3 linked regions of the Oryzias latipes genome follow. The protein of the gene in region 1 purifies or fractionates together with the protein of each later gene. This does not show direct contact. Links are inferred from orthologs where the notes say so. Each region holds a gene or a part of one and is shown in the gene's direction. Other genes may lie near its edges.

Region 1 (5,426 bases):
AGTTGCAACAGTCAATGATCCAGAACGTATTAACTTATGTGGTTGACGAACAGGTCCATTCTTAGAGGAAGAAGGTGGGTCAGAAGCCCAAGGAGGAGTTTCAGTTTGTAAAAAGTACACTAGTGGGGATTTTTTAGGGAAATTTTAAGAGGACAGCCCTTTTATCTCAAGGTCAAAGGTCAAAAACACTTTGGGTCTGGCAGACTTAACCTGGTGGCATGCGTTTTGTAATAGAGTTTTTCTCAGTCGCTTCAGTTTCAATTCTCAGATCAGAATTGAAGTTTGCAAATACGTGTGTGCATTTCTCAAAACTATTTGTACAAACAGCAAAACACTATGGATTTCTTGCAAAAGCCTGTAACTTGCTCAAAATCTTTAGTTCATCTCTCCAAACTAAGTCTTTATGTCATTGAACATGTCAGTGCCATCAGAATGTCAAGTCCTTGTGTCATTGTCTACGAACAAGACAGTCAAATGACTTAGTCATGTTGTCAATATAACTGTGTACTTTAAAGGGAGGTTCTGATGGAAACTATGGCTAAAGTTTGGATGACAATTATTGTAAAATGGAAGTTACACCTTTTTTTTTTGATTGCAAGAGACTGGACAAGATTCACATTTACACTTTTATTGTTCATATTGTAATTTGTAGACAGACCATGTCATACCAACATAGAAAAAACCCACTGCAAACAGTAACACAAAGGGGAAAAAAGATAGGACAATATTCTGTCCAACAGTCCAGGCAGTGCAGTAGGAATTGGTGTGGTCTTCCTACACCTCTTGTCGTTCCTGTATGTTAGGCCACAAATTCTCATCCACATCACAGCGAATATCCTCTCTTGCAATGCAGCGAAATATGATTGTCACATTATGACAACTTGGTCAACCATTTTGCAGTTAATGACTTATACGATGAACTAATGACTAGGAGTTTTGAGGAGTAAGACTATTGCACAGTGAACTATATAATACATTTTGATCAACATGACATAAACAATTGATAATGTAGCAAAGAGCAGAGAATTGTACATAATCATTTGCATGGATGTACCAAAGCAATTGCAACTTGTTCAAAGAAGTGAGAAACTGCTTATATGATGTGCACAAGTGACATCATGATGTGAAGATTGAACAAATAGTTTTGGGAATTTCATTCTGATCTGACAATTGTACTAAAGCGACTGAAAAAAACTGTAATTGCTTAAACAAAAGTTTTCTTTTGCCAAATTGTGTGAAAGTGAGAAAATCGTTGAGTCCAAATCCCTTCACTATATAGTGCGTCTACAAATCTACATTTCAAAATCCAGGGCCCTAGAAATATCCCAGAAGTCTCTACGAAAAACCAGTGAGCATGGATAGATAGATAGAAAGATAGAAAGAAAGATAGATAGACAGACAGACAGACAGACAGACAGACAGACAGAGAGACAGACAGACAGACAGACAGACAGACAGACAGACAGACAGACAGACAGACAGACAGACAGACAGATAGATAGATAGATAGATAGATAGATAGATAGATAGATAGATAGATAGATAGATAGACTTTATTTAACAGTTTTTAATATTTTAACACATTTTGTTAAAATATTTTTATTTCATTTTTTTTATAAACCAGCAGTTTCATTATCATTACCCAGTGGATTCATAAATTGTCTTTTTAAAGTGTTTGTAGCATTTTTTTATAGTTTATTTTGGGAAAACGTTGGTAAATGTATAGTGAACAGGTCCTGTGGAGCCCATAAAATAGCCCTCACCCTCAGGAAGGTTAGTGATTCCTGCCCCAGATGGTGGTAAAAGGGGCAAAATGCAGAAAAAATGTCTCACGGGTAAAGCGGTATTTCCACCGTCTGTACAGTAGGTGGCGGTGTAGGCCTTCAACGCAGATTCAGATTAAATGTACGGAGGAAGAGAAGGAAGGACGGAGTAGAAGAAGAAACGGACTCTTCGCTGTAGATCGAAATGGCGGCGCCAGCAGAGAGGATGGAGGTGAGGTCTTTGAGCGGGAAAAACGCTCATTTGTGTTCGAGGAAACGTCCGCGAGTTTTCCCGCAGGCTCCGGAGCGGCGCTTCGCCGGTGTAGAGGGGGTGTTAGCGCTGGAGTTTCCGGATGCTGCCGCCGCTCATTCATCACAGTGTCGCATTTACGAGAAAAACAGGGGAAACGGTTAAACTCTTCAAACTGGCTTTTGTTTACGGTGGGGTCTGGTGTGTATTTTCGGTTCGACGCTGAAGCGACGGTGGGGGGGCGGCAGGCACGCAGCTGGCGGTGGAACCGGCAGAGCCTTCGGACCGCATGGAGACTAACGTGCTAGCTGCCGGGCTAATTAGCAGCTCGTGCTAACACGCTGATGCTGAGCTCGGATCCGCCGGACGTTAGTCTGCCAGAGTTTACGTTAAAACTCTCGATCAACGTGATCCACTACGGAGCTCCACGTGGGTCACTCCACCCGCGCGGTGCCGGTTTACCGGAAACCTGAACTAGCTTTTCTGTCGAGCCTGGAGTGGAAAACCGGCGAGCGGGTAGTCCCACTGTTTCATCCCGGACTAGACTAGAATCTTCGGTACCGGTTCTGCCGTCCTCTTGAGTGTCCCGGTCTCTGAGCTGGTCCAACAACAGAACCTTGTTCTGGAAGTTGGTCGTCACGTGTGGCTTTGTTACGACCGAACCGACGTTACCGGGTGGGGGTGGGGGGTAGGATAACTCTAACTTCCGGTGGTCTCATGGGGCATCGGGTCCACGTCCTTTGTTCCTCTGAGGCAGCGTTAACGGATCGGTTGTTTCTCTGTCTTCTGTGTTGCCTGGAACCGGACCGGCTCCTCGGCGGTTCCAGATCACGTGACTCCTTTGATCTGCAGACATTCATGGGGTTTTTCCTCCTTTGAGGTTTCTCAGGGAGAGAGCTCAGCCAAGCCTGCAGCTGAAGACATGACATCCAAGGACTACTACTTCGACTCCTACGCCCACTTTGGGATCCACGAGGTACGCCTTCGTGTCCCGTTAAACCTGCGGCCCCCGGTGCCCGCGTCCTCAATCGCCCTCTGCTCTGTTCCTGCAGGAGATGCTGAAGGACGAGGTCCGGACCCTGACCTACCGCAACTCCATGTTCTACAACAAGCACCTGTTCAAGGACAAGGTGGTGCTGGATGTGGGCAGCGGGACGGGCATCCTCTGCATGTTCGCGGCTAAAGCCGGAGCCAAGAAAGTCATCGGGGTAGGAAGGCGTGGACTCGGCTTGGCGGCGCCCGGTTGCGGCGCCTTGTCTCATCCGTGTGCTTCTGCCGTTACAGATAGAATGCAGCAGCATTTCTGACTACGCCGTCAAAATAGTGAAGGCCAACAACATGGATGACGGTGAGTCCACCGCCGTCCGGTGTTGACCGCTGAATGTGGAGGGAAGGTCCTGACCTCTTCTGTCTCTAGTTGTGACCATCATCAAGGGGAAGGTGGAGGAGGTGGAGCTGCCGGTGGACAAGGTCGACATCATCATATCGGAGTGGATGGGCTACTGTCTGTTCTACGAGTCCATGCTCAACACAGTCATCTACGCCCGCGACAAGTGGCTGGTGGGTGTCTCCTTCTGGACGTCAGCGCTTCCTCCAAACTAGTAACTGTAACCACTGACTGTATGTGAGACCTGGACTGAGGGAGCGGGACATGGAGCTGCATGGCATGAAGAAAATTAGCCACCAATATTGCAACAGACAAACAACAACAACAATATAATTGATATAATAATGAGATTTTTTAAAATAAGTCAACAAACTGTACTGCCAGTTCTGTCAATAGGAGATGGGTAAGCGGGTAAATGCCCCCATCTACCCGGTCAAGAACAGACTAGATAATTTGTGGTTGGGTGTGTTTTAAACATTTGTCTGACTGTGCATATGTGTCAACGTTTACGCCCTCTTTGCAATGCGGGATTGCTCAAGTTGATATGGCCATGTTGATTGTTTTTTGATTTTTTTTTTTGTGCAGGCCTAGAATTACGTCAAACGATAGAAAAGTTCAAAATTAAATTTTTTACGCTGCCATGTTGAAGCCAGACAATGTCAGTGAGCAATGATTGGTCTAAGTTGTTTCTATGACAACCAATCAGAAGAGAGCATGTTGGAAGGCCACACCCCTACCACTTAAAGTGGGCTACACGAAAATCTGTCAAACGTTTCTAACACAACCTACTTTTGAGGCTTCTGATTGGTCAGTTTATTGTTTGAACTACAGAAAAAATATTTAAATTATCAATAGATTGTTAGGAAAAGGCATCAGATCCAGAACGGTTCTTCTGACCAATAGAACACAGGACGAACAGCTGTCTGTTTCTCTATAGACGTCTATGGGACATTGGCTTCTTGGAGTCACTTCCTGTTTGGAATGCCAGAAGGGAGGGGTTACTCAGTCCAGTTCTCTGAAACAGTCAATGGTCTTAACAAAAGTACGACATTTCAATGATAAAAGTTTCTACCAAAGCTGAGCTGACGGCAAAGGTTGGCGGCTGGAATTCTGGGAATCCCTCAAAGATCCTCCTGGTGGCTCTAGAAAGGAGCTTCTGCTGTGAACACAGTCATGATCGGTTCATTGAAGATGTTTAAATGTAACCCCTGAGTGTGTTCCTAACACTCATGTCCCCCTCCCTCACAGAAGCCGGACGGACTCATTTTCCCTGACAGAGCTACTCTATACGTCACGGCCATTGAAGACCGGCAGTACAAGGACTACAAAATCCACTGTGAGTAGGTCACATGACCGGGGCGGGGCTGGCTCCGTCTCGGTGGGGGAGTCACGTTTGCGCGGTCTGTTTCAGGGTGGGAGAACGTGTACGGCTTCGACATGTCCTGTATCAAGGAGGTGGCCATTAAGGAACCGCTGGTAGACGTGGTGGATCCCAAACAGCTGGTCAGCAACTCCTGCCTGATCCGGGTGAGTCCTGTGGGCGGGGCTTCTTCCGTCACACGTCTGCACGCTCCGCTAACGCTCCGTTTGCCCTTTCAGGAGGTGGACATCTACACGGTGAAGGCCGAGGACCTGACCTTCACCTCGCCCTTCTGCCTGCAGGTGAAGAGGAACGACTACATCCACGCGCTGGTCACTTACTTCAACATCGAGTTCACTCGCTGCCACAAGAGGATCGGCTTCTCCACCAGTCAGTGTGCCACGCCTCCGCCACGCCTTCTGACTCACTCAAGCAGAGCTTTTCAGTTTGAAGGCAGCAGGGCGGCGGTCCTGATGAACAGCGGTGTTCTGGTCTCACCTCCCTGTCCGTCCCTCCAGGTCCAGAGTCCCCCTACACTCACTGGAAGCAGACGGTCTTCTACCTGGAGGACTACCTGACGGTGAAGAGCGGAGAGGAGATCTTCGGCACCATCAGCATGAAGCCAAACGTCAAAAACAACGTAAGCGGCGCGGACAGACTGACCGC
Region 2 (5,579 bases), about 9.4 Mb from region 1:
ACGCAAAACAGTGAGCGTAACGACCGCGGGCCGCAGGAGTATGTGGAGAAGAACCCTAACCCTAATCTACATTGTAAGTTACAGAGACATTAAGCCAAGAGATCTTTATGTTGATTTAGGACATTTTTTAAATGACACTTGTGTTTCTGTTTGGTTTTGCAGCATTTACACCAGTGGACCTGAGTGATCTTAAAAAGCGCAACACACAGGACTCTAAGAAATCTTAGTCTTTTCTATGATGATCCACTTGCTTTTTTTTTTTCTCCACCCATTATTGTAAAGAACTTTTGATTTATCAGCCCGCTGTCAGCAAGAACGTTTGACCCATTGGCCAATCTAACCCAGAATGCAAATCGAATCTCTACTCTGGACTAAAGCAACCTCTGCCCCCCCCCCCTTTTTTTTTTTAAATCCTCAACAAGAACCAAAAGGATTTGGATTTCAGGGAGTTCAGATTCTTCCCACTTTCTCTGCATTTTTAGTTCACAGTTTTCATCAAAAGTTTCAATGAAGGTTTTGTGGTTAAGGCACAAAAAACGAGGACACAAGACTTAAACCCTCTACTACCAAATGTACCCTGATGACTTTGAAAGAAAATATGAAAGGGCTGACTTCTGTTTTTATTTTTTGGAAAACCAATTGATAAACAGTAGAATGATCTCAATGGATATCCTCTTAGTGGGCTTGTTTTGGAAACCAAAATACAATGTGGAAGGCCAACATTTTTTTTATTATTATTATTATTATTATACATTTTTCTTGCCCTGGGATGGACATTGTTGAGTAGTGAATGCAGGAATGCAGCTCTTATCTCCTTCCTCTAAGCCTTGGAAGCAAAATGTTGAATAAAAGACTTTTACAGAACTTCTGCTTGGTTTGACACTCATGTATGTTTGTTATAATACAATGAACAGTAATCAGTGTTAGGCTGTTTTTTTCCTCGGAACAAACGTTAGCTAAAAGTATGGAAAACGATCATAAATAAGAGGTTAAAAACTCCCCAGTATATCCCCCACCCCACTAAAATTCAGCTATTTTTAAATATACATAACTGTATTTGTAGTTTAGCTTTACAGATTGATTATATCTTTGATTTTCACTTTTTTTACACCCACAATTATTAGGAAAGTAATTCTTTTGCTTTTTTTATTAATAACAGCAATACCAGTTTTTTGTTATTTCTTTATAATAACGTGCAATTAACAGAGGTAGAGTTTACAGACAAACAGAGCCATGTAGCTCAGAAACAATCAATGTAGGAAAGGTTTCAATAAAAGAACAAGAGGGAAACTTTCTTTTTTGTTTGTTTTCTAATTAGGTGAAGAAGTTGTTGGTCTTAAAAATACTACTACCTTCAAATCAAAACAATAGAGTTGCATTTATATTTGTTATTTACATATTTCAAATGAATGTGAAGGAAGAATACAATCATGCATTCTCGTGCAGGGTGCTTTTTTAATCCTTATTGTAGTATGAAGAAGAGCAAAATTTTGAATAATACTTTGAATTGCTATCTTTTTATGCAAAATTAATCTTTTGAGATCAAATTAATTTCAACTTCTTAGCAGATTTGCTGACGTGTCTCATCAAAAAGAGATCCAATTTGTATTTATAATATGCATATTGAGAGTTCAGGGTGTTGTCCAATTTAAGCATTCATTATAATAACGTTTCTTGATCAAACTAAGAAAGTTTTCTTTAGGTCATAGTCACATCTAAATAAAAAATCAATTCAATACAAATTTCATTTGAAATATGAAACCACATTTTTGTTTGTTTAAAGAAGTGCCTTAGCCTATTTGTTTTCAATGTAATTTAAAGTCTAAAAGTATTTTTTTTTATGTTATTCAGTTTCGTTATAGAGATATAGTTAAAAGTGTTTGATTTAATGCTTTGATTGCTTCTTTTAGTGTTACTATGAACTGAACACACCCATGTATGGCGTTTTTTAGGAATAATGTTTTAGTTTCCAGTAGAGGGCGGTAAAGAGTTGTTGTAGTTTTTAACGTAATGACGTCAAGAGTACGTGTTCTCCAACCAATCAGCTTTTCTACAGCTTGTGGGCGCTTTTCATTGTGCTTAGTACTTGGACCAGAGAGCGTAAATCTACGGACGAAGAGAGGGAACAGCTTAGTCCAGGGTGTTTTAAGACAATTTAAATCTTTACAGTGCTTTAGAGTTATCGGGGCAGCATAATGGCGGATAAGATGGATATGTCTCTAGACGACATTATCAAGCTGAACAGGCAGAGTAGAGGCGGAGCCCGTGGGGGAAGAGGCCGAGGCCGCGGAGGCTCAGGCGGTGCCCGTGGAGGAGGCCTTGGGCGTCTTGGTGGTGGCGGCGGCGGATTTGGAGGCCGAGGCGGAGGATCAGGCCCCATGAGGACCCGACAGAACCTGAGCCGCGCTAGAGGCAGACCAACGCCTTATAGCAGGGTATGAGAAAGTTAGACGAATGGGCATTGGAAGGAAAAAAACCTTCGTCAAAGCTGAAAATTCCTGGTTTACGTCTTCTTTTCTCCATTTGGCTTGACGGCTAATCACCTAGCTAGTCAAGCCATTAAAATGGTTGCTTACCGCTGAGTTTCCCTTAGAGGAGAGCTCTATAGTTTGTGGATAAGCATAAATGGAGGTTGTTTGCATAATATGTCCCTTCTCCCACAACCTATATGTGTCGCACCACTTTTCAAGAAGAAGCTGCTTGAGGAGCGACTATGTTAGCCACATTGGCTAACCTGCCGGATCGTGAAGGTCTCAGCGCCATTTTGAATCCAACAACCTCGAATACAATTTGGCGTCAAAATGATGTTTTACCCCAAGTGTCGTAATGGTCTGGAAAGAAAAGGATGCCTACATCGCTGAGAAGGTTCCTGCACGTTTTTTCCATTGCTACGGAATCACATTCCTTCCAACGTCCTGCTACATCTTCAAGGCGGCCTTTTGTCCCAGGAATGGCTGACGGGGTTTCTTAAAATCCCACCCAAAAGGCTTTTCACCAAATGTCACATATGGATGGATACGTGGACTCATACTTAATCCCCTCAAATTTCCTTTATTTTTTTTTTTTTTTTTGTAAAAAGAAGCCCAATCTTCACTCCTGGGGTGTGAATGAATATAAATGCAACCCAAACAAAGCCCCGATCAAAATGGCGTGGTTTCAAAATGGACGTCCGCGTACTCCACGCACTAAAAAGGGGGCTATCGGCTTCTTTCCCCCCAAAATGTTCTTCACCTGTAACATCCTAAAGACATTTCTTCATGAAAGTCGAATTGTGGCCTGACAAAGGACTGTTGTGAGCCTGGACAAGCGGCGCAACGCGGGATGCGAGGCTGCTTCTGCCGGGGACCCCCCCTCGTGTGCCTGAGGAGCATGTCGACAGACAGAGCAGTTGGTGGAGTAGCAGATGGCAAGAAACGACGGGGTTATGCTAGCTAGTTTGGGGCGGATTTTTGGTTCATGTAAAGATTTTTTAAAGTTAATGTATGAAAATGATTAGTTTAAATATCTGTCAGCTTTTTGTCTTACTTTACAAGTAGTAAAACATTGAAATTTTCTGTATCAAAACACCAAAATAGCTATTTTTAAATTTGTGTATTTCTGTCTGAAGTGATTCACGTGATTGTAACGATGGGGTGGGCAGGGATCATGGGGGGGTCTGCTGAGCACCCTGGCCGTGTTGGAAGTGGAGCACCTGCTTGCACCAACACCCAGCCGTGTGGACTCTGTGAAAGACAGAGGCAGGGGATCCTGAAGTCAGCAGGTGCGTTCTCTTTCGTCTGTTGCAGCCCAAACAGCTTCCCGATAAATGGCAGCACGACATGTTTGACAACGGCTTCAGCGGCTTCAATGGGGCTGCTGGAGGTGGCGGAGGAGCTGGTGTGGAAACGGGAGGAAAGCTCCTCGTCTCCAATCTGGACTTTGGGGTGTCAGACGCAGACATCCAGGTACAACTTAGCTAGCATATCTGATGGTGATGTTTTTTTTTTTTAATTGATGACTTAGTTTTGACTTTTTTTTTTTTTATCGAAGGAACTCTTTGCTGAATTTGGGACTCTAAAGAAAGCTGCAGTTCATTACGACAGATCAGGAAGAAGCCTTGGAACGGCAGATGTCCACTTTGAAAGGAGGGCAGATGCCCTGAAAGCCATGAAACAGTACAATGGCATTCCTCTTGATGGTATTCTTCTACTTTATTACAGATTTATTTAATTAGATAAATACATTTAAATATTAGTTGATCTTCCCAAGATTAAAGCCTAATTTGTGTTTAGGGCGGCCTATGAACATTCAGCTCGTCACATCACAGATCGACACACAGAGGCGGCCTATGCAGGGGTAAGTAAGCATGGATTCTTGGGAAACTGGAAACAGGCTGTTGTGTAAACCCCAATTACATTTTCTTTGTGTATTTGTTTTGTTTTACCAGTATGAACAGAGGTGGTGGAGGCATGAGTAGAAATCGGGGTTTCGGAGGGATGCAAAGAGGCCGAGGGGTCCGTGGTGCAGGTGGTCCCAGAGGAAGAGGGCGGGGGGGGCGCGGCGGTGCCCCCAAGCAACCGCTATCGGCAGAAGAGCTTGACGCCCAGTTAGATGCTTACAATGCCAGGGTACATCTGTCAAAATAGAAAGCATCTTCTGTTGAAGTTGTTTTGCAGCTGTCCTAATTCTGTTTCACCTCTTGTTTTCTCAGATGGATACCAGTTAAGGAAACCTCCCATCCTAGTTGACGTCATCCCTCCCTGTCTGCACAGAAAGGGGTGCTTGTTACAGATGTGCAGAATATTTTACACTTGTCTTCTGATGTGATTGAAATTGTTCCAACCTCTTCTTTTAAATACTCCAAAGTGTTTTTTACCAAGTGTTTTATTTTTGTTTTAATTTTTTTTTTTTTTTTGATCGAATGGTTTTACTGTAGGTTAACTGCTGGGTGGAGTTTTCTCAGTTTCTCCCAACCCTGTAGTGAATGGAACTTGTAATAAAAACCTGCAGTATATATTAAATAAGCAATGGGTCATTGTTGTTTTGCTTTATTTTTTACTAAAACCAGTCTAAGGTGGAAATATGCTGGTTGTATTTACATGAAAGCTTTTACTACTTTTTAAAATGCATAGGCTAATAAAATTATTAAATGTTTGTAAATTACATTGTCCAATTGTATTTCAAGCAGTTAAAGATCAAATTCATATCTGCTATGACCTGCTTTACCCTGGGGGTTAAATACTTTTCAATGCATTCTATATTTTCAAGAGTTCAGCCACTAGATGTCGCCCTTGTTCAAATTTGATGGGTTATGTTCTGAAATTTGCTTTTGTGGCGGTTTCCTTTCTTCGCCTCTCAGTTGATGATGAAAGTGCACACATGAAACTGTAGGTGTACGTAACTTTTTATGGGACGCTAAAAGAAGGAATAAGTTAATCTAATAGGGAAGATAACTGAACTCGGAAAAGCTGCACCTTCCACCACACTTTCCGGAAGTGTTCCATAAAAGGCTCTTTTTTTTTTTTCCTTCAGCTTCCGGTTAATTTAACTGAAAACAAGATACTACCTGTGTTTGCTACCTTTGTTGTAAGGAATTTTGT
Region 3 (5,328 bases), on another chromosome or scaffold:
TAGTAGTGCTCAGAGGCTGGGTGGTAGTAGTAGTAGTTGCAGCTGCTGTTGTGCTTGTTGCTGGTGTGACAGCAGACGGAGCAGAGGCTACAGTGTTTGTTCCAGAGTGGCCTGGCATGTCAACGCAGGGCTTGTCTGCTGTGGAAGCTCCGGGGTCCGTTTTACCAGGATCTTCCTGGGAAGTTGCAGGATTGACAGCTCCTCCTGGTCGAGTACTTTGCTGCACCAGGGCCGAAACACTGGTGCCGTTGCCGTTCTGGGCAATGCTGGCCACTATGTGGCTGGGGAGTCTCTGCAGAGCGATGGTGGGGGTCCCCCGGTCCAGAGCGATGGCAGACTGACCCACGGGCAGGCTGGCGTTCGACACAGTGAAAGTCGAGGCGTTAATGGAGGACGGTGCCGGTCGGGTGGAGTTGGGGGTGGTCGCGCTGCTGTCCGCGGAGCTGACGCTCTCCTCGGCCGCCGTGTTGTTGCTGCTGCTCCTCCTCGTCGTCACGGCTGCACCGTTCAAACTCTTGATCCGCGCCGAGGCGGTTCTCCTCGGCGCCGCGATGCGCCTCCTCGGCGGCTCTGCTGCCTCCGTCTCACCGGTGCCCGCGGGCGCCTTAGTGCTTCGGTTGGATGCGGTGCTGATGCTGTCTTGAGGAGTTGACACACTGGACGCGGTCAGTGTTGTGATGGATGCTCCATGTGATTGCGAACCGTTGCTGCTGGCGCTCACACAGGCGGGCGAGGTGGCGGAGGGCTCGCCGAAGGACGGAGCACAGCCCAGCGAAGGAGATGTGTCAGTTTTATCCTGGCTAACGTCTTTAGAGTTGATCTCCTGGCGCATTTCGGGTTTTAAACGGCGTCCTTGTTGTTGTTGTTCTAGTGTTGTGATGCTCACTGGAGGTTGTAGCGTTTTTCCTAAGTGGTGATTAGCAGGGGGCACAGAGCCAGCGCCTCCGTTTTCGTCTGTTTTGCCCACCGGGGTGCTTTGTCCAGTAAGCTCTGACTCCAATGAACCCACCAGGTCGCTAACGGCTTTTTCATCCACCTCTGAATAAAGCATATCTTCCAAGGGGTCGGAGGCGCCCGCCATCTCTGATCATTGATAGTCGTCTTCTGTTTTTTTACAGTGCGCTTGCGTGTTACTAGGCATTGTGGGAATGGACCTGACGTCATTAATTGAGCTCCCTGTTTTGGTTCTGTGAATTAAAGACGTTTTTATTCATTTATTCTTCTCTTTTTTTATTCGTTACTTATTTTTTTCATTTTTAATTACGTATTCATTTATGTACTTATGTATTTATCCACGCCTTATATCTACTATCATACATACTTGCATATTTTTTGTTTATTTCCCTTTTTTACCCTTATCATTGTCAATGTATTTAAAACTTTTTTTACGATGTTTTAAAAATAGGTTTCAAAAACACATATTGACCCGTGTTTTATGCTGCTGTAGTTGCAAAATGGTGTACAGAACTTTAAAACACCAGACAAAAACCTTGTTCTCTAAAGATTTGATATTAAATAACAACATAAAAAATGACTAATGGAGTTTATTACAACATAATAAATAAATAATACATCCACAAGATGCTGCTAAATTCTTCACGGAAGTGGTTTTTGCTATTTAAAATAGTTCCAGAAATTCATTTTACAAAAAATATATATTATTAATTACTAATATTTAACTTCACAATCAAAACAATTCATTTTTTAAAAGAGCATTTTAGCGAAAATTATTGGTTGTTCTTGTTCAAGATGCGTGTCGGAGCAGAAATGTAGTTTTGTGAACTACGGCCTTTCTCCCAGCATGCTTAGCGCCAGGGGAAGGAAAATGAAAACGGCCATGTCGTGAGAGGGATCACGGAGCGGGTTAATGTGCTTCAGGGTTACCTTTTGTATTTGTGGTATGTAGGTTTGAAGTTGCGCATCGGAAAGTTGAATATATTTGTTCTAGGTTGACTTAAAGGGCATTCTTCAAAGGTTAGTGGCGTATTTAAATCAGCAAGGCAAACATGAGCGGAGGAGGGACGCCGTACATAGGCAGCAAAATTAGCCTAATCTCAAAGGCCGAGATCCGATATGAAGGAATTTTGTACACCATCGACACTGAAAACTCGACAGTAGCTCTCGCTAAAGGTAAGCATAATCACACACGAATAGATTTTAGCTTTCCAAAATGACCAAAAACGTGGTATATGGTATAGGAAACCATTATGTAAACAATTTTCCCGCAGTTTGCTAGCTTAAAGCTAGCATCTGCTAGCTTAGCTGTGTTGTGGTGCACACTCAGCGTCCTTTGTTTACGTAGTTTTTCTTTTTTTTGAGCACAAATGACTTGTATGAAAAGTTAACGTGGTTTTGTTTTAACCATTAGTTTAATTAAATTCAAATAGTTTTATTTTTTGGTTGTATAAAACTAACAATTTTAATAAAATTAAAGTTATCAGTGACATTAAACTCGCACTTTCTAACTGTTGTATTTAAACTCCAAAAGTCTACTAGTAGCATGTTGAGTATCAAATTAGACTCCAATAAAAAATTGTTTTACATGTTTACAAAAAAAAGTACATAATTACATGCCCTATGCATTTCGTATTATTGGAGTAAAAATTTGTATCTTTTGATGCTTGTTTTATATTCAAATTGTCTCTAATTTTCTTTACAGTTCGGTCTTTTGGCACTGAAGATCGCCCCACCGACAGGCCTATTCCACCCCGGGAGGAAGTGTTTGAGTACATCATCTTCCGAGGCAGCGATATAAAAGACCTAACGGTTTGTGAACCACCCAAAGCCACTAGTTCTCTGCCTCAGGATCCCGCCATAGTCCAGGTGAGCCTTTTGTGTTTGACACTTCTCCTTTGCAACTCTTTTCGCACAGCCCAATGTAGTAAGGGGCCTTAGAGATAATTAGTAACAGCTGGGTTTCATCTACAGCAGTACAGGTTCAAATGACAAGCACACACAGCTCTTTTCTGATCGTGCAATCTACTTTTAAAAGATCTTTATTGTTCCTCTTCCTGCTTTTCATTCCACATAATTTTTCTGGTACTATCCAATATTAGCAATATTAGAATTTTGAAATCTCTGAACCTTTTTCCAGGTTACAGCTTTGAAAACTTAAGACACTGTCCAAAATAGCAAATGAAAAGATGTTTTTTTTAAATGATTAGTTTTGGAATTACCCAGACTCATGTGTAATCTGTTACAATAGTAACACCCTCAGAATCACACTAGCAACTCATGTAGATTATATTTTTTTTGGATGTATATTGAGCTGATTAACAGCACAAGTTGTGTGTAATTTTTTTTTTTTTATGCCCAATAGATATTTGTTTTTAAGATAAAAGGGGCCTCATTGGTTTAGCACATTTTAAGCCACTGTTTGAATTTGCCTAAAATATACCGGTAGTTGGATTCAAATTTTCTACTAAAGAACCTACATCAGAGCTACCAGCCTGTGTGTTTTACAGATGTATCTGTACCGCTTTCTGCTGACTCCTCATTCTGATTGAGTAAACACACCTGATCCAGGTAATCAGCATCAAGACGTGCAGGGAGATGTGGAAAACAGGCAGGGTAGTAGATGTTGAGGAACTACGTGGTTTAACATTGAGGCAAAAAATAAAACCATTTCCATCTGAATATCTATAACTGTATCAAGGTAGATTTTTGTCTTACTGTGGACCAAAGCTTATTGTTGTAATGAACTCCATCAGTTCCCCTTTTCCTGAACAACCGAGTCATTCGTATTTTTGTTGTGATCATGAACAAAAACAACCAAAAATGCCATGGCAGTCTTTAAAAACTGAATCTCTCTTCTTTTTTTTAGTCATCAATTGGATCTTCAAATGCCTCAGCAGCATCCTCATTTCAGTCTCATGGGTCCTATGCACCATTCAGCAGGGCCCCTGTTCCATCATACAGCCAGTTTGGCGTTACTCCCCTTGGACCCCAACAGTTTGGGTCCCTTGGAGCTGGAGGTAAGAAAAAAAGCATGAATACAAAATTTCATGTTTTCTTTTTTTTTATTAAATACGTAAGTATAAAATGAAGGGATCTATAATCTGTGTTAAAGACCTGTTATTATATTGGTTTCTTTACATTTCAACTTACATTTATTTTTCTATTCATGGTATTCAGAAACAACCTGTATATTTTATTTTTTTTTTATTTATTGTGAATTTTAAATAAATCATTTTAAATGTTTTATTGCAGGACGTGCAAGCCCTCCACTGGACTCTTTGATAAAAAGTTCCTCGGGGGAACAGGCGGTGCAAGCTCCACCTGCAGCTGCCCCCGCTCCGCCAGCTCCTGTGGGACAGAGGAGTCAGTCAGGAGTGACTGCTCAAAAACCCACCAGCACCTCCACGGGCAGCCAGAAACCCCCTGACCTTCTGGAGCAGAAGAAAGGTAACAGTAGCCTCCGTGGTTCTTTTAAATATCTCAAATCTATTTAAGAGGTTTAAAAATGGATCTTTTTGATGCAATAAAACCACTTTTGGCAGCATTGTGTTCTGTTGGGTTTCAACTGCCCCAAAAGCGCTGAAGCATCTGCCATTTTGGAATGTGAAATGCTGGGCTTCTCAATAGATTTGTATTTAGATTTAAAAAAAAACTGATCTTTGGATCAGAACCTGGAGTACAGGAAAAGGGAAGAAAAAATCTTTAAAAAATGTTATGAAAATATGGACTAAATTTTAAGGTTACCTGAAATAATAAAAATATAAACCTATGAAGACTCTCATTCATCCAGGTAAATACCATCGTTTTCACCGTCTTCAACTTTAAAAACCAAGTCCAGATGACAACCTTTAAACCTACTACTATGAAAAATATAAACCGCAATACTTCTACTTTGTCTTTGTTCAGCTTCTGTGGTTCAGACTTCACAGCTAGATCACGATCAGGCTGGTGGTGATAATCGAGATTCCAACAAGCGCCAAATGGGTAAGAAATAACACTTAATTATTTTTTATACTTTGTAAGTGGACTATTTTGGGCTGGTTGTCAGAAAATCATACATTTCTCTCATTGGTCAGGTGGTGCACAGCCTAATCGCCGTGGGCGCGGGCGAGGAAATCGCAGCAGAGGCAAACTTAACATGCGCAGAGATGGAACCATGAAGTTTGAGGAAGACTTTGACTTTGAGACTGCCAATGCTCAGTTTCACAAAGATGAGATCGACAAGGAGCTTCAAACTAAGCTAAAACTCAAAGGTAAGACTTCTCAGAACAGGTATTATGCTTTCTGTGCTGTTGTTCTTCAAGGTAGACCTTTTTGCTAGTGTGGAGGCAGTAAGAGAAGAAAAAACTTTAGCTTCACAAACTTAAATGA

Evidence for each region. Proteins that work in one complex are often made in the same cells at the same time.
Region 2: the proteins of prmt1 (region 1) and THO complex subunit 4 purify together in Homo sapiens (affinity purification with mass spectrometry; 3 studies listed by BioGRID and IntAct, with this or other methods). This does not show direct contact. The link is inferred for Oryzias latipes from reciprocal best matches to the Homo sapiens genes PRMT1 and ALYREF.
Region 3: the proteins of prmt1 (region 1) and lsm14a purify together in Homo sapiens (affinity purification with mass spectrometry; 3 studies listed by BioGRID and IntAct, with this or other methods). This does not show direct contact. The link is inferred for Oryzias latipes from reciprocal best matches to the Homo sapiens genes PRMT1 and LSM14A.

What each region holds. Positions count from the first base shown.
Region 1 is NC_019866.2:24,803,660-24,809,085, reverse strand, and holds the start of prmt1 (protein arginine N-methyltransferase 1), read left to right. Parts: upstream 1-1,872; 5' UTR 1,873-1,968; coding exon 1,969-1,995; intron 1,996-2,893; coding exon 2,894-2,989; intron 2,990-3,065; coding exon 3,066-3,221; intron 3,222-3,297; coding exon 3,298-3,361; intron 3,362-3,430; coding exon 3,431-3,573; intron 3,574-4,648; coding exon 4,649-4,736; intron 4,737-4,811; coding exon 4,812-4,927; intron 4,928-4,999; coding exon 5,000-5,150; intron 5,151-5,278; coding exon 5,279-5,400; intron 5,401-5,426. UniProt on the Homo sapiens protein: Arginine methyltransferase that methylates (mono and asymmetric dimethylation) the guanidino nitrogens of arginyl residues present in proteins such as ESR1, histone H2, H3 and H4, FMR1, ILF3, HNRNPA1, HNRNPD, NFATC2IP, SUPT5H, TAF15, EWS, HABP4, SERBP1, RBM15, FOXO1, CHTOP, MAP3K5/ASK1, MICU1 and NPRL2.
Region 2 is NC_019866.2:15,369,106-15,374,684, reverse strand, and holds THO complex subunit 4, read left to right. Parts: upstream 1-2,048; 5' UTR 2,049-2,195; coding exon 2,196-2,435; intron 2,436-3,785; coding exon 3,786-3,944; intron 3,945-4,029; coding exon 4,030-4,177; intron 4,178-4,271; coding exon 4,272-4,335; intron 4,336-4,426; coding exon 4,427-4,607; intron 4,608-4,690; coding exon 4,691-4,705; 3' UTR 4,706-5,014; downstream 5,015-5,579. Other genes in the region: mcrip1 (mapk-regulated corepressor-interacting protein 1), read left to right, coding at 1-73, 163-227. UniProt on the Homo sapiens protein: Functions as an mRNA export adapter; component of the transcription/export (TREX) complex which is thought to couple mRNA transcription, processing and nuclear export, and specifically associates with spliced mRNA and not with unspliced pre-mRNA.
Region 3 is NC_019861.2:30,567,326-30,572,653, reverse strand, and holds the start of lsm14a (protein LSM14 homolog A), read left to right. Parts: upstream 1-1,797; 5' UTR 1,798-2,006; coding exon 2,007-2,130; intron 2,131-2,659; coding exon 2,660-2,823; intron 2,824-3,823; coding exon 3,824-3,974; intron 3,975-4,209; coding exon 4,210-4,404; intron 4,405-4,863; coding exon 4,864-4,941; intron 4,942-5,033; coding exon 5,034-5,210; intron 5,211-5,328. Other genes in the region: transcription initiation factor TFIID subunit 4, read right to left, coding at 1-1,081. UniProt on the Homo sapiens protein: Essential for formation of P-bodies, cytoplasmic structures that provide storage sites for translationally inactive mRNAs and protect them from degradation. Acts as a repressor of mRNA translation. May play a role in mitotic spindle assembly.